3 linked regions of the Drosophila melanogaster genome follow. The protein of the gene in region 3 interacts with the protein of the main gene of each other region in a biochemical or structural test. Each region holds a gene or a part of one and is shown on either strand. Other genes may lie near its edges. The genes, in order: nanos, png and pum.

Region 1 (11,756 bases), 9.9 Mb from region 3:
TACAATTTAAGCTTTTAGCGAATCCTAATCTAGGAAACAGCAATAGTGGTACATAAGGTCCTCCGTGCTGGACATGATGCACATCACCCGGAACAGTGGCACAAAGAGTTTATCCAAAATATTAGGATGTTCTCCTGGCTGTATTGAAAATTCCGTGCCACTGGATCTTCGCCTATGAGCTGTTGAACTTTGTTACCATTTTATAACTTACACTTACATATGTATATTATTATAATCTATTATATAATATCAATGTTATTGTAATTATATTATTTTGCGCGCTGAATTCATGCCTATGCGATTCTATTGTATAAATATATATGTATTTATATATATGCATTTGTTAATACTTCTGAAAAAGAAAATGAAGAACTTAAATATCCGTTACATATTATATAATATTATTGATAATATTATTATAAGAAAAATATGTCTTGAAGATCAAATTGAAGATAAGAATTTTAAAGTTCCGGAAACTGATAATTATTTTATAACTCCTCATAATTTTTAAGGTTTTTTTTTTTACAAAATCAAAACATTTTTTGTTGTTTACCCTTGAAATATTTCTTTATTCACATTTTCTACATTAAAGTGCTGCGCCAAATATAAAATTTGAGCCTCCAAAAGAATTAAAAAATTTAACTTAAAAATAAAAAATATTAATTTATGTATATTTGAAATTAAGCAGCAGTCAAAGTTATTTTAGTAGTTTATTGATGTTTAGTGGGCTAAGATTGTTCCTGAGGGGAGTTCCGCTGTGCACCACAATGGACTGAAATGAATATTCCCGGATTCCTTCTTCATTTCCGCCAGCGGTTAAAACCTGCAAAGTGACAGTGTGTCAGTTTTAATAACTAAAAAGAAAGTGCAAGTATCTACCGATTCATTTACATGGATATCAGTCGTGATTTTCGAGGAGACTCTTTTCTGAAAGTCGAATTGAAAGCGTTAAAAGCCAATACAAAAGTTTCCGGGTGCTGGCTGATGGACTCAACGTCTGTTCTTCGCACCAAGGACATTGTAGGATGCGATCCTCAGCCTTGATATCGTCTATCAACTCCTGGGCAAACATAGAAAGGTACGTTTCCTTAAAGTCCTTAAAGAATAGCGTGCTTCATTTTAATATTTTTTAATTAAAGCAGCCGTACAGACCCCAAAACAAACGACACACCAGAAACAAATTGGAAAAAACTTGATTTAATTCCAATTTACCAACTTATGCACGATAAATAAAAGCATGATTCTAAATTTTGGTAAACCTCCAAGAACGCGCACACTTTGACATTTTAAACTGCGGCTTTATCGCGCCAAAATTTTTAACCATGAAAATATTCTTGTGTTGGCAATGCTTGAAGTACAGTAATTTTTGCTCGCAACGTATGGCCACACTGCCAATTTATTTGTAAATTTGATACCCTGTATGTAAATATATTGGATAGAACATATATGTTTTGTAGTTATCGTTGGCAAAATTAGAACAACCTTTACATTAATTGTAGATATTTTCAAAACATGAATAACAATATGATTTGTTTCAAACGCCACATGCTTATCTCCAGCCCTGACATTCGATAAGCATATATCGATAAAGTCGTGATTGGGGTTGCACCTATTCTAGCGCAAACAACACATACACGTGCACGTGACGACAATGAGTAAAAAACCGCATTCCATAAAAGTTCCCACCCAATACAGGGCGACTGCCAAGATTTTGAAGGCGGCACTGGAGCAGCAGAAGTGCATCAAGACCCTAATATTTGCAGAGAAGCATGCCGTAAGTGGATTGGACCTCTCGTCCGCAGATCAAACCAATATGCGTATAACTTTTCCCTCTCGCACTTCACTTGTAGCGTACACGCTCTTTGCATACGGTTCTGAAAAAATTTAGCGAAAATCGTGTGGCACTGGAAAAGGCCATCGAAGAGACAGGACTGCTCAGGGACAATCCCAGTTTTGATCCCAGTTTGGCCAAGATTCTAGTCACCGAACTGCTGTTTGGCAGGAAGGAGCTGAACGGCGAAAGCAAACCCGTGCAAACGGTGCGAAGTTACAAGGATCGACTGCTAAATTCCATCAGAGATTTCGGTGTCCAGCGAAAAGGCAGGTTATCACACCGATTACCAGTATTAGCCGGCTGAGATGGGCAAGAAGAACAGGAAACAACAGCATGTCGATGTGGTGCCAGCTACCACTGATGATTCCCCGGCTGTCATTGATTCTCCCGTGGAGCATCATACGCAGCAGGAGGACACCAGTGCGGAGGTCTTCCTCTGGCTGTTGGCCTACAGTGTGCTCATGTTCACGCTGCCCTTCTTGGGCTTCTATGGCGTCCGCAGCTGGCTGCAGGAGTCCTTCCCCCATTTGGACCTTTTCACGGTCAACTGTTGGTCAGTTCTCACGGCTGTTGTGGTTGTTAACCTCGTGGTGGCCATGTATGTATTAAAGGCTTTCCGCGAGAAGCCCCCACCACCCTTGGAACCCGTGCAGCAGGATGAGGACGACGAGCCGGAAGCTGCGGAGCCAAAGAAAGAACAGTAACTTAAGTGCTGCCAGCCAAGTCCAGATTATTTCGATCGTTTAAAGGACCAGTAACGACTCTTAACAACTCTTAATAAATCTTACTTTGGCTACAATTTTGAACTCGTCTTTTTGTTTGCCCACACAGAACCCAATCCTCGATATGTGCGCATCAACACAAATCTATACAGCTTGGCGGAGGCCTTGGACTACCTGCATAAAAGCGACTGGCGGCGCAAGGAGCTGCCTGCGGACGCCAGCTATGCGGATTTTCTGACTGCCATCAAATCGCTGGCGGAGAACGAGTTCATGACCGATCTGCACGTTGAGGGTGTGCTCATTTTTCCTGCCAAGTGGTCCAACTACTGGGTCCGCCATCCGTTGGTGCACAGCAAGAGGTTTATACTGCAGAACAAGGCCACCTGTTTGGCCGCCGAACTACTTGCTCCGCCGTCTGGGGCCACTGTGCTGGATATGTGCGCAGCTCCCGGTATGAAGACAGTGCACATATGCAATGTGATGCAGAACAAGGGATGCATCTACTCCGTGGAGCAGGACCACGTACGCTACAATACGCTGTGCGAAATAACAAAGGATGCTGGTTGCGATATTGTAAAACCCATTTTGGGAGACGCCTTGAACCTAAGTGAGTTTTATATTTATATATTTCACAATGAATATTTAAAAAAGTAACACGTTTGAATTTCAGCACCCGAACGCTTTCCGGACGTAGAGTACATCCTGGTGGACCCTAGTTGCTCTGGCAGCGGAATGCAAAACCGCATGACCGTGTGCGACGAGCCGAAGGAGGACAAGCGGCTGCAAAAGCTGCAGGGTTTGCAAATTAAGATCCTGTCGCACGCGATGGGCGCCTTTCCGAACGTCAAACGCATTGCCTACTGCACGTGTTCGCTGTGGAAGGAGGAAAACGAGCAGGTGGTGCAGCGTTGTCTTCAGCTAAATCCATCCTTCAAGCTGCTCAGCTGCAAGAAGGCCTTGCGCAACAAGTGGCACAATGTGGGCGACAAGGACTATCCCAATATTGGCAAGAACGTCCTGTATTGCCAGCCGGACAGTGATCTTACCGATGGCATCTTCCTGGCCCTTTTCGAGAAACGCCGCGAGGGCGAAAAGGATTAGTTGTTTCAAACGCAAGAAGGACATTTGTTTCCTTAAATTGTAACCATTTCTTTATTTGGCACTCGAGCCATTGAATTTTTCATTTTCAGAATATGTGTACACATTTTTTAAAAAAATAAAAAAATTATATAATGCTGGCGGTTGTTTCATGTGTGAAAAATTGATCAATGGTAAACAAAATTGAATAAATATATAACATATATATATATATATATATATATATATATATATATATATATAGATATGTGTGTTGAAATGAATACTTGCGATACATGTAATAAAAATACTCTTCGCTTATCTATCAAAAAGTGCGGAATGTCAAAATTTAAAATTTTACAATGAATGCGTAGCCGACGACGAAAGTGTTCCTTGCTATTTCCTTTAGCAAGATTTAAATTTAGATTAAATTCTAATGATACGATTGACAGTTCGAAATTCAAAGTGTTCCTTTTTCAAAATTTAGTAAAGATTGTAGATCAATTGTAGATATATCGAAATTTTTCGGCCGCAAGCGAACATTTTACGAAATGAAGGCGACCAGTTGCAGACCAATTCCATTCATCAACTTTCGGATTGTAAGATATTTCTATCGGCCACGACGATTGAACAAGTATTACGATATTGTAAGTCTTCTTTAACAAAATTAGTTTCCCTTTCACAGAAACAGACATAAATTCTTGAATTATTGACTTGGATTTGAGTGATCGTTCGTTGTCTATACTATAAGATCTATAGGCACGGGATAACGCTCTAAATCTCTTTAAAATCGAACGCGCCAGGCGCTATTTAAACGTTACTATCTATCTATCTGGTTAACCCAGCTTTGATCGGAATGCGTATATATATTTCATGTTATATAAACGCTGCAAAAGCTGCCAGAGCCTCTGCTCCAGAGCTGGATTCGCCCTCTCTAAACCTTCATCTGTTGCTTGTAGTAACTGCTCTTGGCTAGGCGGAACGATTCCGCCTTGATCGCATCCTCCATGGTGATGATCGGCTTCTTGGGGCAGTACTTAATCGTGTGCGCCGAGTCCCCAGATGCCCCGCAGATGGGGCACACGTAGGTGCGTAGTTTGGGGCACAGCACTCGGTTAAAGTTATCTCGCACTGAGTGGCTATTGATAACCGCCTCTGGTTCGTTGTTATTCTCACAAAAGACGCAGTGGCGGCTGATCTGTTGGAGAAACAAGATAACAAATATATTTTGCAAGTTTTAATTCTGCGAATCCTGGATCAGATCCACTCACCTCTTTGGCCTTGCTGTTGTAACGCTTGTACACCTTGTTGTTGTTGTTATTATTGTTACTGGAATTGGAAGCTCCGCGCAGCTGTTCGCCCTGCACGGGCAATCCCAGACCCATTCCCACGCCGAGATTGGTGGACACAGTGGCCGCTGTTTGGGCCTGCAAACCCATTGTATTGGGAGCGGCTGGTATATACGACATGTTTCGCCACACGTTGTTCAGATGCTCCCGGTAGTTGTTCAGCCAGTGGGTGGCGAGTGGAATGGGCATTAAGTTGCCGCCATTGGTCTGCAGCTGGGCAGGATTGCGGCCCAGTGGCAGGTGCAGCCCCTGCTGTTGCTGATGCTGCTGCTGCGGTGGCATTTGCACCTGTGGCGGAGCACTCCCGTAGGACATGCGACCGAGATCATCGCTGGCATAGCCATTGGTCGCGAACTCCTGCATCACATCCTGCATCGAGCCAGCCGCATTTTCTGGGAATAGCAAGCTTTTCATTACCTTGTCCTGAACGTATTTTTTTTATTATTCGCGTTTCAATTGCATTTCAGAAATGTAATAAGCAAATACGGATTAGTTTTTGCATACAAAAAAAAAACAAGAACAGACGAGAAAAAGCAAAGAACTTCTAGAAAATGTAAGACGCAAAATGGCTTTCCGAAGTTAAAACAAAAAGGAATAGCGAAAATGCTAAGGTCAATGGCCGAAAATTCAGGGGCGCTCGAAAAACCTCTTGAAGGGGATACAAGTGTTGGGCAAAGATATATTTTAAAGCACATACAAAATAGTAAAATAAAAAATATACTACACTAAATGGCGAAAATCCTCTGACCTCTGCAGCAATTATACATTTACACAATTTTACTTCTGTTTTGCTCTGTGCTTTCGTTGCCCCTTTAACTAAGCCCATGGCCATTGACTTTGGCATAACTGTACTTGTACAGATAGTCATCTCGCTCCCGCGCACTGTTTTTGGCTATTCTGTTTTAAACGACGCCATATTCGCCATTTCTTCTTACCTGCTGCGCCCGTCGTCACCTGCGCAAAGATTTTCAAGGATCGCGCAATCTCGTCCGTTTGCTGGTGACTCGCACTAGCCGCTGCCGCTGATGCAGCCAGCGCCAATTGGTGCTGCGCCATGGCCAGTTGCTGCTGCTGCTGGAGCAGCAAGTGGTAGTGGTACTGTCGCTGCATAAGGAGCGAATTGGCGGTGGCTGCGCTGTCGGCCAGAAAAGGGAAGTGCGTCGACTGCGCAGACGTCGACGGGTCAGGGGTCACCGGCGTAATGGGCGGACTCAAAGTGGCCGACGAGTTGGCCCCACTGGTATCCAAATACATGTCCTGCAGGCCCAGAATGTTGAGCCCTCCTCTGGCGTGAAAAGCAGAAAAGTTATCCTGCAATTGGAAAATCTTTCCAGACTGAGCCAACGAGGGGGGATTTGCAACACCTACTGCTGCTGCGCCACTGCCCTCCAAGTTGCTGCGGAACATGGCGAAAATCCGGGTCGAAAGTTACGGTTATCGCGCACTCTACTTTCCACAAATCCTCACCCAAAAACCAAGCACAGTTTATTCAACTGAAGTATTCGCGATACTTCTTTATCTAATAATAATGTACATGTAACTAAACTCGCTTTTGGGTTAAAATCGTGACGCAGAGGCAAAAAAAATCGTATGTCCCTTAGACAACTTGAAACAACTGCGAAGCGTACGGCAATTCCAGGAATTTTGTGGTAAAGCTACGCGCCAACTAACGGTTCTTGCTTAGAGGTGGAATAATGTAGTTTTCCAGCGATAATAAATATATCGATATTTTTAGTAAAATTGAAAAGGTAAACTTAATTTTAGAAAATAATTTATAAGAAATTTAATAGTATGCAAAATAATTTTTACTTGCTAAGAATATGTGCCACTAATTAAAAGCTGGACACCGCGCAATGGAAAATAGTACTACAACACAGCAACAAAGCCTGAGTTATCAACAAAAAAATACGAAAACATCTCCCAAAACTAAGCACCCACACGCGCCACTCGCCGTCACAACACAATCACTGCACACCACCATTCGAATTTCGCGCACTGTGACAACATCACATGATATCGGCGCGGCAACATCGGATTACCGACAAAACGAACTATCGCACGAGCCACCGCCGGCGAAGAGCGCTCGTTTTGCAACACCGGCGCGCGCTGAACGAAGAGAACAGCTGACTGCTTGATACGTGCGTGTTTCGCGGCAGGAATTACATAAAGTTTAGAGCCTCTGACGCCAGACCCCCCGAACATTCGCTCCGATCAAACTACCTGCGAACGGTCACCTAATCCCCACCATGGTAGGTTACCTCTGATCCCGGTCATCACTGGCGTTCGCTCACATCCGTCCTTACATGTGCATATTTCGAGGTTAAAACGGTCGAAGCTTTCAATGATTTTTTCTCCTTGCAGTACAGAATAGCTGCCCTTGTGCGGGATCGCGCCTGTCTCTTCACGTGCCAGCAGGCCTCGCAGAACCTGCAGCAGCAGCAGGTTAGAGTTTGGCTCATAAAACCCCATGGCGCAACCGGCCTAAGTCATGACTTTACTCCGCAGCCCCGCTTTTATAGTGCGCCAGGTCGCAGGGCCGGCTTCTTCTCGCAGTTCTTCGACAACATGAAGGCGGAGATGGATAAGAACAAGGAGATCAAGGACAATATCCGAAAGTTCCGTGAGGAGGCCCAGAAGCTGGAAGAATCGGATGCCCTGAAATCGGCGCGGCAAAAGTTTAACATTGTCGAATCGGAGGCGCAAAAGTCGTCTAGCATGCTAAAGGAGCAGCTGGGCGCCATCAAGGAGCGCGTAGGCGATGTTCTGGAGGACGCCAGCAAATCCCACCTGGCCAAAAAGGTTACCGAGGAGCTCTCGAAGAAGGCTAGGGGGGTCAGCGACACGATCTCCGACACCAGTGGCAAGCTGGGCCAGACCAGCGCATTCCAGGCTATCTCTAACACGACGACGACCATCAAGAAGGAGATGGACAGCGCGAGCATAGAGAATCGTGTCTATCGTGCTCCTGCCAAGTTGCGAAAGCGCGTCCAGCTCGTCATGAGCGATAGTGATCGCGTTGTGGAGCCCAACACGGAAGCCACTGGTGAGTCTCCATCTTTTTCCTTCAATAAGATCAAAGGTCATGGCCATAATGTAATGTTACTTTTCAGGTATGGAGCTGCACAAGGACTCCAAGTTCTACGAGTCGTGGGAGAACTTCAAGAACAACAATACCTACGTGAACAAGGTGCTTGACTGGAAGGTTAAATACGACGAGTCCGAGAACCCTGTTATTCGTGCCTCCCGCCTGCTGACCGATAAAGTGTCCGACGTCATGGGTGGACTCTTTTCAAAGACAGAGCTTTCGGAAACGATGACGGAGCTGGTGAAAATCGATCCGAGCTTTGATCAGAAGGATTTCCTCCGCGATTGCGAAACGGACATCATTCCAAATATTCTGGAATCGATTGTCCGTGGGGATCTGGAGATTCTGAAGGATTGGTGCTTTGAGAGCACTTTCAATATTATCGCAAATCCCATTAAGGAGGCTAAGAAGGCCGGCGTGTACCTGGACTCCAAGATCCTCGACATCGAGAACATTGAACTGGCAATGGGCAAGGTTATGGAGCAGGGCCCGGTACTGATTATCACGTTCCAAGCCCAGCAGATTATGTGCGTGCGGGACCAGAAGAGTCAGGTCGTCGAGGGAGATCCGGAGAAGGTGATGCGGGTTCACTACGTCTGGGTGCTGTGCCGCGACCGCAACGAACTCAACCCCAAGGCTGCCTGGCGGCTGATGGAGCTGTCCGCCAACAGCTCAGAGCAATTTGTTTAGCGCGCTGCCACGCCTTTCTTTTTTACCGAGCCGTTTAAGTTTCCCTCATTTTCTCATCCAAAAAACAAACGAAAAGATTACTGGACACTGAGCATTGACGACGAACTGACCACGAACTCGACCCGCAGGAATCTATTAAGTGTGTACAAAGGTTTCGCTTTCGATTGCTTTGAAAGTTTTGTCCGCCACTAGTCAACTGCGTCCGCCCGGCAGGGGCTGCTGGTCGGTCCCGTGAACGATTCCCCCACGAATTCCGGGCACAGCAGACTGCCGGCTCCGGCGCGGCTCATATCCCAAATGACGCCCCGGTTGGCCGTTCCTTGCGGCCACGCCCACCGCCGATCCACTTCCGGCTAGCACGGAAGGAGTGTTCGGTGCGGGGATTGGCCGTCGGGATCGTGGTTCCTCCGCTGGTGTCCTGGCCAAATCTATAACGTTGAAGCTTAAAGTGCAACCGCCGGTGTATAAGGCGTATAAGTAGTGACCATAAGCAAATTGTTGAGTGTAGTTGAGTTTAGGTATTTTAAGGCCCCAACCCTTTCCGACACCCCCCCCCCTCCCAATCCCCACCCCCTTCTCTTGTAAATATGGAATTCGCTCAGGGCGGCTTGGGCATCGTAAATTGACTGTACACACAGAATCCAAAGAGTTGTATGTACGTACACATCGAGCGCCACTCAGAATGTCTAGAAAAATAAAAATACTTCAATATTTTTACATGTACCATTTAAGCAGCTGGCGAATTCTTGTGAAATAAGTGTTATGTTTCCTTACCCTAATCACAGACATCCAAGTTTATGGTTGCCCCATGGATCGGGCATCCGTAAGCGCCACTTGCTACTAAGTGGGCAAAATAAAAAAAATCCAATACTTTTACATAATCCATTCGATTGGGTGTTTTTAAAACATGGAATGCTTTATTTTCCGATGACAGTTGTAAAACATTTTAATTTTACCTTGGTTAATAAGTAGTATAAACTTGCTGTTTTGAGGGAGAAAATAGTTTGTTGCTCAAATAAAAATGTTTGCAAATACCTAAGTAGTCATTGTTTTCTATGCATGTGATTCATGTATCTCAAAAACTTGAAAAATATTTTGATGTTTGTGACAAAAACAGTGATTATAAATTAGAGACATTTTTATTTGATGAATAATTAGCATAAAAAAGCCTATAAGTATTTGATTTTTTAATTCACAGAATTCATTCATGACCCACTTCGTTATTCAAAATAGCACATATCAGGAATAAAATGTACTGAATAATAATAATAATTTATACCTTTAACAATCGGTTAACGAGCAAGGTGGTAAAATCCGAGCAAAGTTAAGAATGCTAAGTAATTTCTTCGTTTCGAATACCCCCAACAGTAAGTCAATGTTACTGCCTCGATCGGTTAACAGAGAGTTAACAGAGTTGGGGTTAACTCGGCTGGCTCTCAGCTTGAGTTTGTCATTCCGCACGGAAAGCTCGTCGCGAACGCACGTAAAACTGGCAAGGCGGAGAAATATAACAAACATTTACAATTTGGCCCGCAGAATAAGCCGAACGAGCGCTTAATCATCGAAAAGTATCCAGCGATCGAGTGGCGCGTAACCTGTGCGTGAGTGATAAGGAGCTAATTGATAAAGGAAGTGACGACGGTGCCCGCATATCTACATAAATTCGCAATATGATGGCACTGCGGAAAACTTTGGTCTTCAACAGTGCGCTTCTGTTGGTTCTGCTGCTGGCGGAGTGTAAGTACCACGACAGATAAAAAGATATAACTACAGTGACAACGGGCGAAACAAGATAGATAGACACGCACACTCGATGTTTCCACTTCTGCAGCGAAACTAGTTTGCAGCGCAGCTGGATGGGATCGAGTTGGAGCGGCCACTTGGCTAGACAGCTAACAGTTTACGGTTCACCCTTTGCCTTAAGTGCCAGCCAAGATCGAAGACCATGTCCGGTTCGGGACGCCTTTATGGTGAAGCCCGCCCGGTTTACAGCGCATAAATATGGGGTTTTTATTGAATGGTTCGACCGCCCGCCGTCCCGTCGCAATGAATCGTCGTCCATCAAGGTCCCGCCAGGTCGCGAAATTAAATTGCAAGACTTTAATTCCATGGGGGAACTCCATCCATCCAGCTGGCTTCGCAGTGCAGATAAGATTTCGCCAGGCCTTTTGCGCTATATTGGTAAATGATCGCTACGCAGGAATTGTAAGCGAACAGTTGTGGTCAAAATAATAGGCGTTGTTGTATAAATCCTGCCAAGAGGGAACTATTCAGATGGATAATTGGGTTTCAGATTTCTTTTTTAAATCAATAAGTTCTAAAAGTACAATTTGTTGAAATGATAGTGGACATTCTAGCATTGGATTTTCATGTTGTATTTTTCATTTTTAAGCTTGAAAGCCAATTAATTTAATTACAATATAATCCTTAAAATTTCCTTACTATTACTACTATTACATAACCAACGAGATTACTTTATAACAAATGGCCAAATGACTGCCGTTCCTTCCTGCAGATTATGAGGTGTCAGAACTTTATGAGCTGGGTCTTAACTTATATTATTTGTCCTAAAGTTGTTAGCACCCGCAACTCAGTGATAAGAACTCTCCGGACTCTTTGACACTTGTCAAAAGTGGATCAAGTTTTCTTCGGCTGAAGGCTTTGGCCTATCGTCACGTACTCAATTCAAAACTGGGTGACTTACGAATGTCGAATGCAATAAATTGCAAGACATCATGGCTAAATCATGTGCTTTTTCGAATTTAATTGGCTTTTGTTTGTGGAATTTTTGGAAGCTCCACCAGCTAACGCGCGATTTTGACGCGATTCGTGAGCGGTTTATGCGAATCCCAAAGCGATCGGCATTGGCGAATCGTTTGTGGCATTAGAAATGTGTTTATTGTTTCAGTTCTGCTATATAGTATATATGTATGTATAAACGGACAGGTTTGCAAAAAAAAAAAACCATACGATTCAAACAAATCTTAAAGTGTACAGTG
Region 2 (9,789 bases), on a different chromosome or scaffold from region 3:
AACGGCGCGTCTCGTAGCTGGGACTCGACGCCTGGATGCGGAAACGCTCCTCGCGCTGCTCCTGAATGTCGAAGGTCTGGGCCAGCGCAAAGTAGGCGTAGTCGATACAGGCATATGTGAGCAGGAAGGGCATGGTCACGATCGGCGCCAAGAAGTTGATGTCTCCCACGATAATGAAGGTGACAGTGACTAGGGCCACGATGGCCATTGCGTATAAAGGCACTTTGTTGGGACCACGCTAGCAAAGATTTCGAAAAGTTGTGATTACGTTATTTTCCTTATCTTATTGTTCAACTGGTACTTACACCCTTTCCCAGGATATCGATGCCCGGAATGACGCTCTCTTTGGCGATGCTCTGAAGGACGCGCGGAGTGCCGTACATGGCGCCCAGGCAGGAGGACATGCTGGACACATAAATGCCGGCCAACAGCAGGAAATGCACGGCAGACACCTTGACAGAGATCATGTAGTCAGTATACAGGAAGCTTCGTTGGCAGGTGGCCCCCAAAAACAGGACGAACACCAAGTACAGGAACGTGCTGCAAAGAAATCAGATGTCAAGAGCTACTGATTTCCCGGCGACGTGTAAACCTTACGAGGTGCCAAAGGCGGCCAGGGTGCCATTGGGAATGTCCGTGGACGGCGCGCGCAAGTCGCCGCTCATGTTAATGCCCGACAGCACTCCGGTGACGGTGGGAAAGAAGACGCCGAACACACGGAACCAGGAGTAGCCGTCGTCGTACTTTGGCCATAGGTTCTCCACGAAGTTTCCGCTCGCCCAGCCATTAAAGCCGCCACCTGCAAATAAAACCAGATTAATAGCTTGTTGGCATAAAATCTTTGCAACTTCTTTTGAATCATATTCCAACTAAATTCAACAGATTATTTAAAAATGCCATAATCTACTTAGGAAGCGATTAGTCACTGGACATGGCTAACAATCGCATATGAATAATGTACTCACTGGCCTCACTAGTGAAGCTGCCCACCATGAAGTCCAGCGCCGAGATCAGCAGTATCATGAGCAGTATAAACTGAAGCTTGATGACCCACTTGACGCCGGCCACGTTGATGCAGCCCAACAGGAGCACCGCTGCCGTAGCGAACCCGCGGATGGCCCACTTGCTGCCCTCGAGTCCCACTAGTCCAGCCATTGATTCGCCAAATCCCATTACGTTAAGGGCGCATCCCACCGCCTGGCCAAAGCAGTAGAGCAAACCCAAGGCGCCTCCGAATCGGGAACCAAGCGTGTGGGCTATGAGAAAGTACACGCCACCGCTTTCCACACGGCACCGCTCGCAGATACCGATTGCCGAGAGGACGCTGACGAGAGCTATGACCACCGTGCAAAAGATGATCAGCACCGCGTTCAGAATGCCTGCCTGTGCGACGATCCATCCGGATCGCAGGAACACGATCACTCCAAACACGTTGATTAGGCAGGAGGTGAACACTCCGTCCCAGGTGCCGAATAGCACGGGCTGGGAGATGAAGAAGTTCGAGCGCCACCTGTTGAGTAAGAGGCTTAGGATCCTGGCCAGAAGGGTTGCCTGATTCACTTACCACGGCTTGTCGCCCTGCTCGCCCGCAAAGATCTCGTTGGCCCCGGACGCATGGTGGCCACCAGCCGCGTACGTGTACTCGTTACCTAAATCCACAAATCCGCCGGTGTTGTTGTTGGTCCGCTGGCGAAAGCTGGTCACCGCCACATCCCCGTCCTCGTCGCCGCCAAGTCCAAATCTCTGCCAGTCGACAGTGCGTCGGCCGCCGTTGCCATTGCCCTCAGAGCTATTAGTCATCTCCGCTCCGCTTCGCACCGCACACTCCGCTCCACCCCGCTTTTCCCGTACCGCTTTTGGCAGTTGTTTGCTGGCCTTGTTGTTGCTGCTGCTCCCGTGGAGTTGAGCAGTTTTTGCGTTGTGCTGTTCTCGCGGGTTATCTGACGACTACTCGGGCGTAATCGCGGCAATTAACTGATTGCTATTTCTTGGCGTTGCGCTCCCACTGCTACACCCAAACATCCAAACGTCCAAGTGCGAGCACATCCACGCAGGCAGCCAGTGGAGAATCCTCTGAAGATCGCAGATCCGATGGAGGTGCTGCAGGCGCTGGATTCGAGTCACTGGCGACCGAAGCGGGAAACGGCGGGCATCGTCTTGGTCGCACTTGAGTAACTGTAACCGCACTCAATAAACGCTCAAAAAGCTAAATAAAAACACTTGCTTATTGGTAAACTACAAGAAGTCGTCATCGATGACTTTTCGGTGGGCTGCGATATGCGTTAGACGATAGGCCGCCTATCTGTTTCTAAGTTCTATCGCTACCATCCGATATCGATAACCAAACCGGTGTGACGCGCCGCACGTGCTTACGTTTTGTTTGTATTTTACTGGGCTCCTCGGGAAATGGGCAAGAAGAAGGACAAGTCCGGGAAGCTGGACAAGCAGACGACGAAGAAGGAGGCACCGAGCTCGTCGCAGGCCAACATGGGGAAGGCAGCTGGAGCCAATGATTCGGAGAACGGAATTTGGCAGGACTCTCGGTTCCAGCACCTGCTGACCGATCCCCGATTTCGCGGCGTTCCAAAAGTGCAGCGAAAGGTCAAGATCGACAAGCGTTTCCAGGGCATGTTCACGGACGACAAGTTCAAGGTGAAGTACACCGTGGACAAGTACGGCCGCCCGGTCAACAAGAGCAACGCCGAGGACCTCAGAAAGTTCTACGAACTGGACGAGAACGAGAGCAGCAGCGGCGAGGAGCCTGCCAAAAAGGAATCCGATCTTGACTCCGAGGCGGAGGCAGAGCAACAAGAGCGGCGCGCCGAGGAGCGAGCCATAGCCAACTTGGAGAAGGAGGAGAGCAACGATACTCTGGAAAGCGATAGTTCCGAGGTGTCACAGAGTCTTCGTCAGCGCCTGACCAACCCAGAGATAGACTACGCCCGCGGAGAAGGCCGCCTGTATACCGACTCCTCCTCAGACGAGGACAGCGATGATGAGGACGAGGGTCCAGAACTGCAGATAGACCACGTGTGGGGCGAACTGGACAACGATGCCGAGCACACCGAGGAGAGCACCCGCCGGCTGGCTGTTTGCAACATGGACTGGGACCGCATCCGGGCCGAGGATCTAATGGTCATGCTCAGCTCCTTCCTGCCGCCCGGCGGTAGCATTCTCAGCGTCAAGATATACCCCTCAGAGTTCGGGAAAGCGCGCATGGCCGAGGAGGAAGTGCACGGCCCAAAGGAACTGGTGGAGCGCGTGGAGCCAGAAGACGACTCCGATGAGGAGCTCGTACGCCAGCAGGACAGCGATGCCGAAGAGGGGGAGGACTACCACATGGAGAAGCTGCGTCAGTACCAGCTAAACCGACTTCGCTACTACTATGCTGTCGTCGAGTGCGACAGCATAGACACGGCCGACAAGGTATACAAGGAGTGCGATGGTATCGAGTACGAGAGCTCCGCCACGCGCGTGGACTTGCGCTTCATCCCGGACGACACCTCGTTCGAGGAGGACACGCCGTCGGACGAATGCTTCGAGCTGCCGGATGCCAGCAGCTATAAGCCGCGACAGTTCACCACCACGGCGTTGCAGCAGGCCAAGGTGGATCTAACCTGGGACGAGACGGCGCTGGACCGTCGTGAGCTGGGTGACAAGCTCTCCAGCGGGCAGGTTGACAAGCTCACGGACAAGGAGCTGCGCCAGATAGTAGCGTACAGTAGTGAGGAAGAGGATTCTGAGGCAGAGGAATCCCCGGCGGAGGAGGCTGCTCAAAAGGCGGTTTCAGAGGACCCACAGAAGAGCAAGCCCAAAAAGACTTCTAAGCAGGAACGCATTGCCACCTACAAAAACTTGCTGGCCGACATCCTGGAGCAGGAAAAGAAGGAGAAGGAGCAGAAGTACGAAATGGAAATGACCTGGAACGTGGAGCCCCAGCACGAAGAGGCACAGCCGGAGCAGCAAGCCCAGGCCGAGCTCACGCCCATCGAGAAGGTGATCCAGAAACGCAGCGAGAAGAACAGGCAGCGCAAGGAACAGCGCCGCCAGCGCCAGATCGAAGCCAGAGGAGGCGATGCCGGTGAGGACAGCGATGAGTCCATGGTGCCCGATGGCATCGATTTGAATGACGCCTATTTCGCCGAGGAGTTCGCTAATGGAGACTACGCTCCCCCTAAAACGAAGCAGGACAAGAAGAAAAAGAAAAAGAAGGGAAAGGACGATGGAGAGGAGGACGTCGAGGCGAAGCGGCAAGAGAAGGAGCTTGAGCTACTGCTGGACGATGGCGACGGGCGCGACGAGAAGCAACACTTCAGTCTGACCAAAATCCTCAAGAAGGAGGAGCAAGAAGCGAGCGGTTCAAAGCGAAAGCGTCGTCAGAAGTTAAAGAAATCGAAAAATCAGCCGCAGAATGCGGAGAAGCTGGACGACGACTTCCAGGTAAACCTGAATGATAATCGCTTCAGTGCCGTTTACAAGTCGCACGAGTACAACATCGATCCCACCCACTCCCATTACAAGCCCACCAAGGGCATGCAGCAGATCATCGGCGAGAAGTTAAAGCGCAGAAAGGAGCAGGGGGAGGGCGGCGCTGCAAACGGCGATGCGGATGGGGATGAGCAGGTAGCCCCCAAGAGGAGTAAGCAGCAGCTGGAGCAGAACGCCCTGGTAAAGAGTCTGAAGCGTAAGATCCAGCTGCAGCAGCAGGGCCAGAAGCTTTAGAGGATTAATGTTACTGTACAATAGGTGAACAAATGTAAATTAAAGACTACGTTAATGACATTGAGCGAGACTGTTTTGGAATATACATTATATACTGTTTATAGCTGACAGATCCCCTGGCAAAAGCACAGGCGCACACAAAGCACAGCACACACCTTAATTTATCGCTTAAGCTAGCCTAGTTCTTAAGTACAATGAAATATTTGTTGAGGTCTCCTCGTGCTGGTGAGCTGACCATTGGCTTCCGTTAGTAGCTGTAGCTGAAGTAATGCTTGTAGAGGGTCACAGTCATGCCGGCGTCGAGGTGGAAGATGTCTGGTAGGCAGATGCGGCGCTCCTGCTCGTAAACGACCATCAGCTCGCAAACTTGCGCCCACACGGGATCGTAGAGACGCCGGATGAGCTGGCAGTCGAGCCGGGGGCGGACCAGCGCCTGGACTACGGTGTGCAGTAGGGCAGGGGTGGCGTTCTTGTCGAGAAACGCGGCGAAGGGGCTGCGTCCGAGGCACAGCTCGTAGAGGACTAGCCCCAGTGACCACACGTCCGACTTGAAATCCACCTTGCCCTGGCTGGACATCGCCTCCGGGGCCATGTACATGGGCGTGCCCATGCCCGCCTGCAGTTGAGTGCTGGGCGCATGAACGTTCGCGATCCCAAAGTCGGCGATCTTGACGCGGTCGTTGGCGTCGAGGAGCATGTTCTCGGGCTTGATGTCTCGGTGGATGACGCAGCGGATGTGCAGGTACTCGAGTCCCACTACCATGTCGCGGAAGTAGCCCATCAGCCGCTCCTGATTGACTCCCCCGGTGCCTGACGGCAGCTGCTGGATGACATCCCTCAAGGTGCCGTTGGGCACGTACTCCATCACGATGTTCACAGTGCCCGCGTGGCTAAAGGAGCGCAGGAACTCAACGATGTGCGGGTGGCGCAGCTGCGAGATGATGTACACCTCCTCCTTGATCAATCCCAACTCTGTCTTCGGATTCCGGACGATGATCCGCTTCACGCACACCTTCCTCTCCGGCTGTCCGCGCACCTCGTTTTGGTGGCAGAGGAAGACCCGGCCAAAGGTGCCCTGGCCCAGCACCCTTACCGCACGCAGCTTAGAGTCACCCAGTTCCATCTCGAGTGCGCAGAGTTCCGAAAGCGTAATCCGCGATCCCGCCTTGATGTACAGTTAGCCAGCAAAAGCGCAAGCGCGCCATCTATCGATTGCTTCGAAACAAGAGATGCACAGTTCCATCGGAAAAAGCCGAAAACTCGGAACTTCGGAAACCCCATATGAAAATTGCTCATCTGGCCAGCAGCAACAGTGCTCAATGAAAGTAAGTTATTAGAGTCTGGTTAATTAATCAAACTAACGCATCGTGAACTAACCCCATTCAAAAAGTCCATCCATGTGAAAAGTATGACTATCCTAAATTTTTATTTATTTTATTTAACAAAATTAAATATAGTATACAATACTAAACCTAATTAAATTTAATGAGTACTAGCTACGGGGGCCTTCGACTCGAGACTTATGGGTTAATTGCTTTATATAATAAACTTAGCTTTTTGGACAAATTTGTAAATTTTTGAGATATTTTCACAGGATGGGATACTTAAACAATTCGAGAGACTATGTGTACCAAATAAGTGAGATCTAATTGAGTGCAATTGACTGCAGGCGTTGAGAATATGGTCAACGGTGAGCTCGTCCCCGCATAGTTGGCATGTTGGTCGCGCCGATCTCATCAGTAAGTGTTGATGTGTGGATTGGGTGTGCCCGATGCGTAGACGGATAAAGGTCGCGCATTCCCGTTTATGTACGTTCGTTGGTGGCTTGAACATGATGCAATTCGGATTGATAGACTGGTACCTGTGCATGAAGAGTGCCCATTCGGAGAGTTTCTTTTCTTTGAGGTATAACTTGATTCGACTTTTTAGGTCCTTGGAGTTAAACGGAGTGAACAGGATTGATGGTGTAAGCCTCATCTCTTGGGCGGCTTTGTCAGCAAGTTCATTCCCATGAATACCTTGATGACTGGGAACCCAGAGTAAGGTGATTTTTTTTGGGTGAGAACTTAGAATGTGCCTAACTTCTTGTGTTGTGGGGTCATTATGGTTCCAGTTGCGTATAGCGGAAAGAGAGGAGAGGCTGTCTGTGCAGATAACAGATTTTCCAGCGTTTTTGGAAGCGAATTGGCATGCTTTGAGAATGGCGAAAGCTTCGGCTGTAAATATGGAGTTGTAGGACGGAAGCCTACCTCCTGCAATTATTTTACGGTTAGAGTCAACAACCGCAAAAGTAGTTGCGCCGGTGACTTTAGAACCATCGGTGTAGATCCAGTTTTTCACACCAAGATCTTCTTGTGCGCTCATAAAACGTTTTTGGTATTCTAGGCGACCTGTATCCTTTTTGGCAGCATTGTATATTTGAAGGTTTATGTTAGGCTGTTTGGAACCCCAAAGTGCTGGCGATTTGAAGGGCCTCCTGGGCTTAGGCAGGGGAAGGTCAAGTAGCTTGATGTAGTTGGCGCAACGTCTTAGGGTGGATATGCACTTGAATTTCCGTTTTTGTTTAAATATGGCTCCGAAGTCTTTGGTTAGCAGGCAGTTTGACGTGGTGTACAGCTTCGGGATAAGCATCAATGTAGTTTCTTCTACGCGTGATTGGATACTCGGGAGACCCGATTCTGCCAATGTGCACGCTACTGGAGATGTGGGAAATGCGTGAATGGCGCGACGGACCGCTCCGTGATATGGGACTTGTAGCTTTTTTAAGTGTGATTTAGCACACCAACCGAAGATTGGCAGTCCGTAGTCAATTTTAGATAGCATTAAAGCGCGCGTTCGGCATTCCACAGTCTTCGGGTGGAGACGTGTTTCTTTCAAGCTACGAATAGCAAGTTCTAAAAACTACAACAGTATAGTGAAAGTTAAACACAAAGTGTAAAGTGCAGTTTGCACAACTAACAATTATTGACTATAGTAATTATTTACTAAAATAAATAATTATTCCATATTGTTCTGGTAATTGTTATATGTGGACTTAGAACAATGAATCAAAACGACATACGTTCTCAGCGACAATGTGAACAAGACGAGCGCCGGCTCTCTTTACAACGCAACAATGCATACTTTTCTTTCGTCTCACCGCAAATCGGTGATCGAGCACCCTCACCTTCAACTAACTCGAAACTTTTGCCCTCAGCGAACGACAGACCGCGTTCTTGCTCTCCCTCTCTGCCTGCTTCGGCTCACAAGTCGTGGAGCGAAGAGACCGCCTCTCCTACCCCGCTCCTCTCGCAGCGCCAAACGACCGTCCCGGGTAACTGTAACACTGCAATAACGAGTGCAGTGACCTCACTGGCAACTGCCACAACATCAACTTCGTCAGCGGCCCAACTAATTATCGCTGTGCCAGCTGTAAATAATTCAGCAGCACTGACCGTTTGCAACAACAATAATGCACGTAAAGAAGAATCAAAACAAAAGCAGAAGTCGATTTCGACTGTGCAGACTGGCATGGATCGCTACATCCAAATCAAGAGAAAGCTCAGCCCTCAAAACAATAAGGCAGGTAATCAACCCAAAATCAATCGAACCAACAACGGCAATGAAAACTCTGCAGTAAATAATTCAAACCGATATGCTATCTTGGCTGATTCTGCGACCGAACAACCCAACGAAAAAACGGTAGGGGAACCAAAAAAGACCAGGCCTCCACCAATTTTCATACGAGAACAAAGTACAAATGCACTTGTAAATAAACTCGTTGCTTTGATTGGTGACAGCAAGTTCCACATTATCCCACTTAAAAAAGGAAATATTCATGAAATAAAACTACAGATCCAAACAGAAGCAGACCACCGTATAGTGACTAAATACCTAAATGATGCTGGTAAAAACTACTACACATACCAATTAAAAAGTTGCAAAGGGCTACAGGTAGTACTTAAGGGCATTGAAGCAACAGTGACACCAGCTGAGATAATTGAGGCTCTGAAGGCCAAAAACTTTTCTGCAAAGACAGCTATTAATATTTTAAACAAAGACAAAGTTCCGCAGCCACTATTCAAAATAGAACTCGAACCAGAGCTCCAGGCACTAAAGAAAAACGAAGTGCACCCAATATACAATTTACAGTACTTGCTACATCGGAGGATCACCGTGGAGGAGCCGCACAAACGTATCAATCCAGTTCAATGTACTAATTGCCAAGAATACGGCCACACCAAGGCATACTGCACCCTTAAGTCCGTATGTGTTGTCTGTAGCGAACCTCATACTACCGCAAACTGCCCCAAAAACAAGGACGATAAGTCTGTGAAGAAATGCAGTAACTGCGGGGAAAAACATACTGCAAACTACAGAGGCTGTGTGGTGTACAAAGAATTGAAGAGCCGCCTAAACAAACGTATTGCCACAGCACATACATACAACAAAGTCAATTTCTACTCTCCGCAACCGATTTTTCAACCACCCCTAACTGTCCCAAGCACTACTCCAACAATTTCTTTCGCTAGCGCCCTAAAATCCGGACTAGAAGTGCCCGCCCCACCGACAAGAACTGCTCATTCCGAACATACACCGACAAACATCCAACAAACACAACAAAGTGGCATCGAAGCTATGATGCTATCCCTACAGCAAAGCATGAAAGACTTCATGACGTTCATGCAAAATACTTTGCAAGAGCTCATGAAAAACCAAAATATCCTGATTCAACTTCTTGTATCTTCAAAATCCCCATAATGGCTTCCCTACGGATATCTCTGTGGAACGCAAATGGCGTTTCACGGCATACACAAGAGCTCACACAGTTCATTTACGAAAAAAACATCGACGTAATGCTACTATCAGAAACGCACCTCACAAATAAAAACAATTTTCATATACCAGGATACTTGTTCTATGGTACAAATCATCCAGATGGTAAAGCTCATGGAGGCACTGGAATACTCATCAGAAATCGCATAAAACACCACCACTTAAACAATTTTGACAAAAACTACTTACAATCTACGTCCATAGCCTTACAACTCAACAATGGTTCAACGACTCTAGCCGCAGTCTACTGCC
Region 3 (11,569 bases):
ATGCCTAGAGAGCTTCGTAGCTAAAGAATTCGCATCTTAAAAAAAATGTAAAACGTGATTGTCGATATGGTTATAATACAAGTTCCACTGTGCCACAGAAAATAAACATTCACACACATTATCATTTAAGCAGAGCGTCTTGGATGTTGGAAAATTGCAAACATTTCAGCTAATTGGCAAGACAAGAAGAGTCGGAAAAGAGATAGAAAGAGATGAGAAAGAGAAGAGACTCTGGTTTAGCGGCATTTGTTCAATTAGAACGAAAATGTTTATAAGAATAGGAGGCGGGTTGGTTGGTATGCTGTAAGAGGTGGAAGTGGTTATAGTCTACAGCAGGGCCAAAAAGAGGAAAAAAGAGGGAAACAAAAAAAAAAGCAGTTGGCGTAAATTAAAAGTCCAATCACTGACAAATCAGAATCAAAAATGCAAATATATGTATTTATATCCTTGGAAGATTAGAACGTATGCGGTAATCCTTATCATAAAATCCCGGAAGGCTGGCACGAAATCGTTCTTTAATGAATTAAGTTTTCAAGAGATTCATAAAATTAGGCTATTTACATATGTTAAATTGAACAAAACTCTAGACTGCCAATAATTCACGCTACAAAACCCCGAAAGTTTATGCGAACATAAGTTTCATAAAACGGATGTAATTATTTATTAACAATGGAAGTAACAAATTTGTTGGATTTTTTTGCTTTTCCAAATCAAATTGGAAAACAAAAATAAGCAAAAATAAGAAAAGGAGGACGACAAAAACAATCAACAATGCTCGAAAAGCTTCTTAACAGAGATGTTCCAATTAGGAAACCCATTATCCAACCAGAAAACGCAAAACGAAACGGGGGAAAAAAGCTGCGCTCAAAATCAGATGCCTCACACTGAGACAAATTCCACAGACACACACACGCACACAAAAATCATTACGCGCACAAAAAGCTACAAAAAAACATTAAAGAGAGTAAGGGGTGGGGAAAACTGTGTGGAAAAAGGAGGGAACTGGATGAAGATGAGAATTCGCAGAAAAAAAGAGGCAGGCAGCATAAAAGAATCGCAAGTAATAAGAACACCGCGTACACAGAAAAAAACTAAATTCGTATCAATCCAATCACATAACTCACACATAAGTAATAACTCATAACTCAGTAATAAGTAAGAAATCCAAGACGCTATCTTAATCAATGTAATTTGTATTGTTAAGAATCAAATCTTAACGCTCGAAAAATATCATTTCCAATTTTCTTACTGTGCAGAAGGCGAATGCGAAGAAGGGACAGAAGAAACAAAAGAGGAAGCAGAATGCACCACATGCAGGGAAACAACACAAACCAAGGCAAGTGAAACAATGAGCAAACTTAATGCAACAAAAACAACAACAGCGCAGAAGAATCGTTTTTACCCTTTTCCCATTCTCTCTCTCTCTGTCTTCTCCTACCCGCTGCTTTTCTTCTGTTCCCCTTTTTATTCCATTCCATTCCGTTCCGCCCGGCTGTTAAGCGCAAATCAATGACCTACGACATCAACAAGAGCGCGTCAAACACACACGCAAAGCCATAAGTGGAAGCAAGAGAGCGGAGAGATAGTTCTGGAAGAGAGAAGCGCGCGGGACAGGGACAGCACGTGGCAGGTGGGCCCAGCAGGGGGAGAGAGATAACTAGAGGGAAGGATGCAAGGAGTTTGGCGAAATATTGCCGATGCCTGCGTTTCTTTACCCCCCACAAACTGGCGTAGTAGTAGCAGCTCGGTAAATACTCGAAAAGATGTACATAATACATCAGTTTCAATATACAATGCATTACATATGTTTTAGTTTTTCCCATTTCCCATCAACAAAATATGCAAATTCATATAATTCACATATATTTTTCTTTTCTTCTTTTAAGAAAAACAAGGGTAAGATAAAGGACATCAACAACGGAACAGAAACCCCAAGAACAACAACAACAAGTTTGCGAAAACTCTCTTTTGCACAACTTTACTTTACCTCCAGCCAGGAGGTCTTTATTTTGTTACTATTATTCCGACTGGTCCTCGCATAAATGTAATAAATATCTTTCTCCTCTTCTTCTGCTGGTTCTACGCTCAGAGAGAGAGAGAGAGAGAGAGAGAGAGAGATTTCAAAGTTGATGCAAAGTAAACCGAAAAAAGGGTGACACAAGAAACAAAAAGTCAACCCACAAAGAGTAATTAAACCAAGAATAATCGTCATTTTACACAAATATTTACATTATAAACAAAAAAAATCAGCTAGAAACATCAAATGCGAAAGTAATATCATAAATAAACATGAATTAATAAGCAAAGAATTAATCTGATGTGTAGCGAGCAGGGTATCAAAAGGCCCGCACAACCCAGAACCGTTTTGAATCGACAATTTGCTTGATAAAAACATAATCGATTGCGGGCCAACCAACACTTGCCCATTAAAACCCTGCATTGTGTGCGAAGGAAGTGAAAAGGAAATTGCAGTGCCAGGTGACAAGGGGAATCACCTGAAGCAGAGGTCAGAGAGGGACGCCACGAACGGGTGAGCGAGACGAGAGGGTTAGACGAGTGAAATTCTTTAATTAAAATGGCATTTCCTATAAACAATTGTGACACAACGAGAAGTTCTTCTCCACCCCACTTGCACAGCATCGCCAACTCATTAGTTCCCAGTATTAAATTCTTTCGTTTATAAATTGCTGCCAGTTGTTTCTGGCTAAAATGCCAGTGGTAGTAGTAGTCGAGTTCTCAAGTCATCAGATTTACCGGCAACAGACAGGTGAGCAGACAGGTGTGTGAGTATCCAAGTGTATCTGCGTGTGGTTGTGCCGCATGTGCAATGTTCTGGCTTTATAAGGTTGAAAGATTGCAACCGGAATGGGATCTATGTATCTCAGCCCCGCCTCTTTCTTCGCTTCCCCTATATTTCCACATTTATCTCCATTAGCCAGTGTAGCAAAGACACGAATAAAGCAGCACGGACGGCGAGTAGAAATAATGAAAAGCCAAACAAGAAGTTCAAGAATAATAGAATCAGCACACAATGGTCCTCTTCTGCAAGTTCTATAACTATCAGAAATAAAGGCGCTACAAAAAATCTTTAAAACTCAATCTCGAACAAAAAAAGATTCTATTAAACTGTCACATAGTCATAATCACGCAAATATCGATCTCCATTCAGCAATAGAAAATGGTCAAACTTAGTAAATTGCAATGCCCTTAACAATTATTTTATGAGGCGCAAAATAAAATTCCTAAGAAAGTTACGAAAAGAAACGAAAAGTTTTCGCCAAAATTGGAAGAAAAAGTACAATGACAAAACCATAACCACTAGCTATCAAGCCAACTTATTGATTAATCTAACAAGAGAAAATAATCAAATGAAATTTAATGGTTAAAGTTTTGGCACTCTCTTTTTATTTGAGAATAAACTCTCGATTTAAACATGTAAGAGCTCCATTAAGGGCACTTGGTCATAACTTTATTTTTGAGCACTCTTTATCGGCAGTTTTGTCAAGTTGGTTTCGCCTATTTAATTGACAACTATCGAGTTTTAGTTCGCTAAATAAACAGCGTATAATAAGACAAATGAATGTAGTGGCAAACGCACTGAACTTAAGTAAGGCAAGAAAACTGTCATTCTCTTGGGTTCACAAACGCAAAGTAGATGATTCATCTCATTGACAGGAGAGAAGAAGCAGCCTTTTAGTTGTTCGTAGCTACCCCATCATGTAAAACTATTGATATTCCATCAGTTATCAATACAAACATACATATACAAACATGGTTAACTAATTAGCTTATCATTCCGAGCCTTATCAATTGAATTAAAGACTACTACTTATGCTACTGATAAGTGGTAGTATTCCTAAGCAAATCAATTGCAACATATTCCCCTCTTGTCCGCATAAATTATCGTAATCGAAACGACAATTGTTGGATTAATTATGGCAAGCCAAGAAAGTTAACCTATTACTCACCGCTGCATTCCGATTGGCAGCTGCAACAGCAGAGCTGTTCATATATTGATTCTGTGGCGGCATCATTGCGGCTCCCATGGGCACAGTGGTCTGGCCACCCATGTAGACATAGTCCTGGGGTCCTCCGGCTCCGGGTGGACCCAATGGCTGTTGCTTGGGCATGCCGCCGTTCATTCCCGGGTGCATGGCTCCACCATGATGGTCGTACATGCTGCCACCCGATTGGGCATAAGATGACATGTGACCCAAGGCAGCCGCATGGTTAAGCAGATTCGCGTTGTACTGGCCGGGATGTTGCTGCTGCTGTTGTTGCTGCTGCTGCTGCTGTTGCTGGCCGGGATGTTGTATGCCCAATCCATTGCCGTTGCCCAGTCCATTGCCACCGCCCATAAGGTGATGTGGATGCCCCTGGTTCTGCGCCTGCTGCTGTTGCTGCTGCTGCTGGGGATGCTGCTGGTGTGGATGCTGATGTTGTTGCTGGGCTGCAACTGCGGCTGCTGCCTGTGATATCATGTGATTGTGCTTGGCCAACGCCGCCGCCTGTTGCATGGCTGCCATATTCGCAGCTGCAGCGGCCATCGATTGATGATGCAGACCGCCATTCGTACCAGAGCCGCCATTATTTCCGCCGCCAGCTCCGCCGCCGCCACCACCACCCAATCCGCTGCCCATGCCAATGGTTCCAATGGCGCCGGGCCCACCATTACTGCCATTTCCCGGTGGACCGCCAGGAGCGGCATTGGCCGGATTCATCGGCGGATTGTACTTCCATTTGTCCGGGTTCTGGAATTAATTCAAGGATATATGTATGAGCCTTTGAATAGTTCTCGATATAATCTAACTTAATTGCTCTCATTTAGTTCGTAAATATAAAATTCTGAGCTATTTAATCCTTTGTATTTGTACATTGCCAATTAAGTCTCTGTCGAATATGAAACAAATTTCCTAATCAATATCTCCTATTTTACCACAAACATCTTGCTATTCTATTCGCACAATTCCATTGGCTGCACACTCAATGCCAAATTGTGATAATCTGTTTATGCAACCATTTCTGGCAGACACTTATACAATCTGCGGAGGTCAACTGGGGGAGAATTAAAGCCCACCTTCCTCCCCCTGAAATAAGCGCCACAAAGTCTAATCAAGAAGCAGCACTGGGAAAAGTTACCCAATAACGATATGGAAGCCAAAATTTAGAAAAAGGGGAAAAAATTGTCATCTGATGCTAATTGCTAAATATGCTCTTCAATACTATTTGCATAGAAGTAAAAATACTTATATTCTTTGTATTAATTAATTAACTTGGTAATGATAATTCTAAAATATTTAACTTTTAGGTAGTAAAGATAATATTCCTTTATTGCGATAAAAAAAAAAGTTATTGGAAGAGCCCCTCAACATGTTACTACAATGGCTCTAAAACTGTTTTATTTTGGAGTCTGGAATACTTACATCGATCCCATGGCCGTCGTCGCCGCACGCCCATCGGGTCTGCTGTTGCTTCTGGGCAAAGTGGGCGGCGTACTCGGCGGCGGCGGCCTCGTGCAAGGTCGAGCCTACGGCTCCGACCCCTGGCACACCGCCACCCACTCCGCCCACGCCGACGCCAACCCCACCAGGCGATGGACGCTGCTGGAAGACATAGCCGACGGCGGCGGCTGCGGCGGCACCAGCTGCATCGGCGGCATCCTGAGAGACGCCACCTCGAGATCCTACAATGGCATCCGTGCCAACGCCGACGCCTCCGCGGCCATTGCGATCATCGTTACCACCCAAAAACTTCATGTGTTGCTGGTGTTGCTGCTGCTGCTGTTGTTGCTGCTGCTGTTGGTGTTGCTGGTGTAGCTGTTGAAAGTAGGGCGGTGGTGGACCGTAATGTTGCTGCTGCTGCTGTTGATGTTGCTGATAGAGTTGCTGCTGCTGCTGCTGCTGCTGCTGTTGGTGTTGCTGCTGCGGCGAGGGCGTCGATATGGCAATTGTGGGCGCGGTTAGGAGCTCAATTTTGGAGGCTTTTCCTAGCTATCGCAGCTGACAATTTTGCGCGTATTGCCAACTTGAATTGTATTTTAACTTGCAGCACAAAGAACCACACGCGCGTTTTGCAACACTATTCGCTCGGAAATATTCACAAATGTTACATATAATTTTTTTTTAATTTTCGCTTCAGATTTACACTTGTTTTTTGCTTTTATTTATTTTGTTGTAAAAGAAACCACACTTTTTGCTTAATATATTTAATATTTATTTTACAGGCTTTGCTGAGATTTTTCACACACTTTTTGATCAAAAAAATTGAATTTGCTTCGTTTGGTTTGGTTGTCGTGGTTGGTTTGTTTTTTTTTTTTTTTTTACATAAATTTACACAAAATTATGAATAATATTTTACACAGTTGCACAGCTGTTGTTTTTGGGACTTAACAAAACTGAACTTTATTTATTTAATTACGTATGAGAATTGGTTAAAACTTGAATTTTTACAGATTTCTTGTTGAGAATTGTGGAATTTCCGTTTATTAATGTAGTTTATTAATTATAATTAGGATGAATTTTAATTTACACGACGTTTTAATGATGAAAATATACACAAACTGCAATGAGAAATTAAAGTGTAAACTGTGATTAGTAAACGCAGTAGTTTTTGGAAATAAATTGTTGAGAAATTATCGATTTCGAATCAAATAACTTTTTATATGATGCTAGTTTTTATTCCCAATTCAATACGACACTCGAACCACTGTACTTTTGTGCGATTAAAAACTTTGAGCTGGTCATGGTAAAGAAAAGATTCCGATAACACAGACAGCAGACAGGGCACATAATAATAATCAACAAAATAAAACGCACAAGGCACGCGTAAAAGCAAAACAATTTCTTCTAAAACTGAAAGACGACTAAGGCAAATATTAGCCATGATTTCCCCATTACGAAAACAATAACAAAGTAGATGCCGATAAGTGGTGAATTGCGGGGGGGGGGGGGGAGTGTGTGCGTTGCGTTTACGTTTGAGGAACAGGAGCCCCAAGAACAAGTCGCAGAAGCAGACTATCCATAGAAGAACAACGCAGCGCTGAATCATGCTCGAAAAATACGGAAAATATAATTTGGTTTCTTTGAAGACCGATTGGATTAATACTCTTAATAAATTACGATGCAGGCTAGTTTTATCAGTGACTATCAATACATAACTTTTCAGACTTTATCTATTCGTAAGTGCTTAGCAACCGTAACAAAAAGTTGGCACACGATAACAATGGCGTTTATGTTGCAGTTCCAAAAAGGTTTTAACGAAATTTTATAAATCACCATTAGGACCATTGCATTTCAACATTATGAAAATGATCTTTAGATCTGATTATTCAAATCCTGTTTTACTCTTTTAACATGAAATTCTATAATAGTTTGGGATTATAATAATATCCATTGTACAAAATATGGAATCCAATGAAAACAGAAACAAAATCCCTTTTTAAAATCTGGTTACATTGTAGATCGGCTTGTTTAACATCTAAGAATTTATACATATCTGGAAAACTTGTGAACAGAATTATTGTTATAGCGCCTCCCGCGGAAAGCACACGGAAAGACGTATAGCGGCTTGTTTAACATCTAAGAATTTATACATATCTGGAAAACTTGTGAACAGAATTATTGTTATAGCGCCTCCCGCGGAAAGCACACGGAAAGACGTATAGCGGGGGGTGGTGGGGCGGTCGAAAATGGAAAACATATAAAATTAACATACACACAGAGGAGCAAGAACAACAACAAGAACGATGCCGGCAGACGATGAGCGAATGCGACAGAACGAATGGCGAAGAAAACGAAACGAAGACGAAGGCGAAAGGCGGCCGCAAACATTTGAGGTTACGTTTTCAGCGAAAAGAATGCGAGTGGGTCGGTCTTTTATTTTATTATTTTTTTTTTTGTTTTTGGGTTGTTTACGAGAATTATATCTCCATTTCTCCCTTTCGGTCCTTTCGTGCCTCCCAAGAAGCCCCCCAAAAAAGGAGAGACAAGTGCAGCATGCGAAAAGGAAGAGAGAGAACGCGAATGCTGTGCCCCTGGAAGCTCGCACACACCCACACTTCTAGGGGAGGGGGGTATATATAAAAACAAACATAAAGATAAACCATAAAAGAGATGGCGGACAAAACAAAGGAGGTGCGGCCAATAAGTAATTAGGAATTAAAACCATTTGAATTGTTTAATATTTTAGTTGGTAGTTAGGCGTTCTTATTGGGAAAAGCACATATATACAATTGCAAGGCGTCCCGAGAGAGAGAAAGAGCGAGAGAGCACACACACACACGTAAGAGGGAGCTGAATGGTTTGGCGGGGGGACGCGGGGAGAAGGAAGAAGCAGAGCAGCCAAATGGCCACCGCTCAAAAGGAAGAACACGATGGTATAAGGAAATAATGAAACACACACATTCGCACACATACGCACAATCGGAAAAATTTGTTCACCAACCAAACAAAAAGAAAGGAATCATATAAATTATTCAGGCACACACTTAATTGATTTTTACCTTTTTCGGGCAAAATACGAATTAATTTCGCAAACTATTTATACATGTTTGCATATGTACAAAAAGCGGTCTGGAAATGCACACATACACTCATGCCGCCGAAATGGAAAAGGAAACCCGATGATGACAATGTAAAACGAAACAGGAGTACTTTACGGTTTTTAGCTGTTTTTTTTTGTTCATTTCCTTTTTTGAAACACTTACACATGCACTTAAAAAAGCCTTCTCGTTTGCATTTCCATTGATTTGATGGTGTGTGTGCTTTCGTTAAATACGAAATTTAGATTATTTAAATTACAATTATTTACACAGGATGATGAAGAAGAAATCGGCCAGGAATTTCTTCAACGTCGCCGCCGTCCGTCGCAGAACGATAATAAAAGCGAAATGCAAAGACACACTGGCCAAATACAACTACAACAAAGAGCTAGAGAGAGAGGAGAGAACAAGAACCCCCCAAAATGAGAGCAGTGTTGGCAAACGTGCGAAATCAACAGAGAGAACGAGTGAGCATGCCCACAGAGTGCGAGAGAGAGCAAGAGCGGGGGTGCGAGCGCAAAAGACCGACAATTTATTTTACTTTTATTAACATGCGCGCAAAATATTTATATAAATTGATTACACATTTTCTTGTTCTTTTATCATCACCCCCTTTTTTATATTCACCCTGGCAAATGAATTACGCTGCCCCAGCCAAATTGTTTATATATTATTTATCAATCGATTTTAGGGGCATGCCAAATTTGATCAGACGCCAGTCGCACACAAACACACACTTGAGCACACACATTCACAGACCAACACTCGCGCATACATACACACGCACCAGGGTGTTTGTTTTGTTTTTGTTTGCGGCTTTTTTTTTTATCAATTTGTGATCTTTTTTCGCAGCCGCAAATTTGATTGTGATTTACCGCCGATTGGAAATGTAAACAATGCTGTCGAACTATCAGCATAAGGCTGGCAGTTTTAAAATACTTTTCATATTTTATAGCTGTTGGGTACTCACACCTTAGCTTATTTGAAAAATTTACATATTACAAGCACGCCGTTCTAGGTCTGCTTCTTCTTACGCGCGAACATTTAGTGTGACCGCAGCTCGACCGTTCAAATATACCATTGCGAAGCGCACTGAGAAACACTCTCCAATAGTTCTAAGATACCAAAAATTTAGCATACTACTATATGTAAGTTATAATTTCATTTACTATCCCATTAGAGAAATTAATTGATTTTTATGTTCTATAATGCATTTAACTAGTTGCCCTAGTTTTAATGTTGTTAAAATAGCATTACAACAATTACCGTTTATAACTTCACTTTCTTCAGAGTGACCATATAATGTAAAGTACAGTGAACACTGTATATAAAGAATCAATACAACCATGGATTTACATATTTTTCCATCTGGTTTATATCAATAGATAATATATGTTAAATGATATATATAAAAACTAAATTACACAAAATTTTTTTAGGTATAGTAGGTTTATTTAAACTTGTATACGATTGAAATTTCTGCAATCAAATCAAATTTGTTGTTACAATAAAGTTCAGTTCTACTTCGGAACTTGAAATCTTCCCCAAATATGTTATTTATGTGTTATTTATTTGGTAATTTCAATCCAAGTTGAAATCGTTTTCCGAGCTATGTGTCGTCATTACAGTGCAGTGCAGTTGTAAACGGTTTGTCCGATTTCTCAGCAATAAATCGGAATATATATGTAGACAAAGTGTGTTGTTTTAGGAGGGGAAGGTTCTCTAAAGTCCAAGTAGGTCCTATCCATTTTTGTGTTTTCTTCTCTTACTTGCAGATTTTTTTTCGTTTTTTTTTTTTTGCTTTTACAACATTCTTTTTTTTTTGTGTTGATTTTTGGGGAGGGGTGTGTGGAAATGTTTATAAATTGTATGTTTTAGGCAGCTACCGATTCGGAATCGTTGTAGTTATCCGAAACATAACCGTCGTTGGCATCATTTTCGCCATCGGAGTTCCATTTGAGGCCATCTCCTTTGGTTGGTGTCCCATCCACGGCACGGTCCTCGTCGTTCGACTCCTTCTTGGAGTTGTGTTGGCCCTGATCGGCGGAATCAGCATCATCTGCATCGTCATCAATATTTTTCGCTGGGCGACTACGGGGCTTTGTTGTTTCCTCTTTGGACACCTTGCCAGCGGCAAGAGAGGGACGTCCACGTTTCTTCGGCGCCACTACCGTCTTCTCAGGCGAGCTGTGTTCCTCCTCCCCGGAGTTCTCATCGTCCTGATCGTCGTCATTGTCCTCGTGCTTCTCGACGGGTGCAGCATTGGCCTTTGGACGACCGCGCGGACGACCGGTGGGTACGTAGCCAGTACTGCCACCGCTACCCGACTTGTTCTGTGGTGGACGACCGCGTTTCTTGGGCACTTGTGGCTCCCCATCGCCATTGGACTCGACAGCCCGCTTCTTGGGTCTTCCCAGGCCGCGTCCCGTGCGCGATATGTTCAGGTTGACGGATCCAGCCGACGGTCGGCCCACTGGGCGACGTTCTTCGATGCTGCTGTTGCCGTCGTCGTCCTCATCCTGATCGTCTGTTTTGAAAGAAACAAAGCAATGTTAGTTAATAGGTATAATAATGAAATGAATCCAGGAATATATTTAAAGTAATATTTGTGAAGGTAAATCAATGGTCTATCGACCATTTACATATTTTTGATTTTGATTGATTGCATGGTTGCGGAATGTTGAAATCATGACTCTACCTGTGATCTTCGAAAAAAAATCACCAGGTAGCGTAAAGATAAAAGTGCAAGTTTGGTGGAAGCAAACAGTGCTTAAATTTCCATTAATTGAATTGAGACCATGAAATGTTGGGGATTTACGTACTAACTGCACTACCATAGGCTCACCTTCATTCTCGCTATCGCTGGGCTGGTGCTTCTTGGGCCTGCCGGCCTTGCGCTTCTTGGCGGAACCGGGCGTCTTCACCGAATCCCCGGATCCTGATCCGGCGCCACCACTGCTCTTGGGTCGTCCCCTGCCCTTCGTCGGCGAGGGTGATGAGTTGTTTGCAAGCTCAGCGCCGGAGCCATCG

What was found.
Region 1: the proteins of pum (region 3) and nanos are reported together in a solved structure, tested with the Drosophila melanogaster proteins (one study listed by BioGRID).
Region 2: of the proteins of pum (region 3) and png, one has a biochemical effect on the other in vitro, tested with the Drosophila melanogaster proteins (one study listed by BioGRID).

The regions. Positions count from the first base shown.
Region 1 is NT_033777.3:19,152,134-19,163,889, reverse strand, and holds nanos (nanos), read right to left. Parts: upstream 6,653-11,756; 5' UTR 6,390-6,652; coding exon 5,918-6,389; intron 5,375-5,917; coding exon 4,905-5,374; intron 4,832-4,904; coding exon 4,568-4,831; 3' UTR 4,281-4,567; coding exon of another isoform or gene 4,185-4,280; 3' UTR 3,688-4,184; downstream 1-3,687. Other genes in the region: CG42359 (uncharacterized protein), read left to right, coding at 2,140-2,538; Nsun5 (Nop2/Sun-like domain containing protein 5), read left to right, coding at 1,652-1,774, 1,851-2,100, 2,666-3,163, 3,227-3,657; CG11779 (uncharacterized protein), read left to right, coding at 4,185-4,280, 7,344-7,424, 7,488-8,025, 8,093-8,757; CG5835 (uncharacterized protein), read left to right, coding at 10,428-10,494. UniProt on the Drosophila melanogaster protein: Maternal RNA-binding protein that is required for germ cells proliferation and self-renewal. Acts by forming a complex with pum and brat that regulates translation and mRNA stability.
Region 2 is NC_004354.4:1,351,689-1,361,477, forward strand, and holds png (pan gu), read right to left. Parts: upstream 5,914-9,789; 5' UTR 5,846-5,913; coding exon 4,970-5,845; 3' UTR 4,800-4,969; downstream 1-4,799. Other genes in the region: CG12773 (uncharacterized protein), read right to left, coding at 1-238, 306-540, 598-799, 966-1,510, 1,565-1,800; CG11417 (uncharacterized protein), read left to right, coding at 2,407-4,722.
Region 3 is NT_033777.3:9,228,106-9,239,674, forward strand, and holds the start of pum (pumilio), read right to left. Parts: upstream 8,921-11,569; 5' UTR 8,705-8,920; intron 6,560-8,704; 5' UTR 5,757-6,559; coding exon 5,424-5,756; intron 4,752-5,423; coding exon 3,969-4,751; intron 2,173-3,968; exon of another isoform or gene 1,887-2,172; intron 1,748-1,886; exon of another isoform or gene 1,257-1,747; intron 48-1,256; exon of another isoform or gene 28-47; intron 1-27. Other genes in the region: D1 chromosomal protein, read right to left, coding at 10,414-11,066, 11,385-11,569. UniProt on the Drosophila melanogaster protein: Sequence-specific RNA-binding protein that acts as a post-transcriptional repressor by binding the 3'-UTR of mRNA targets.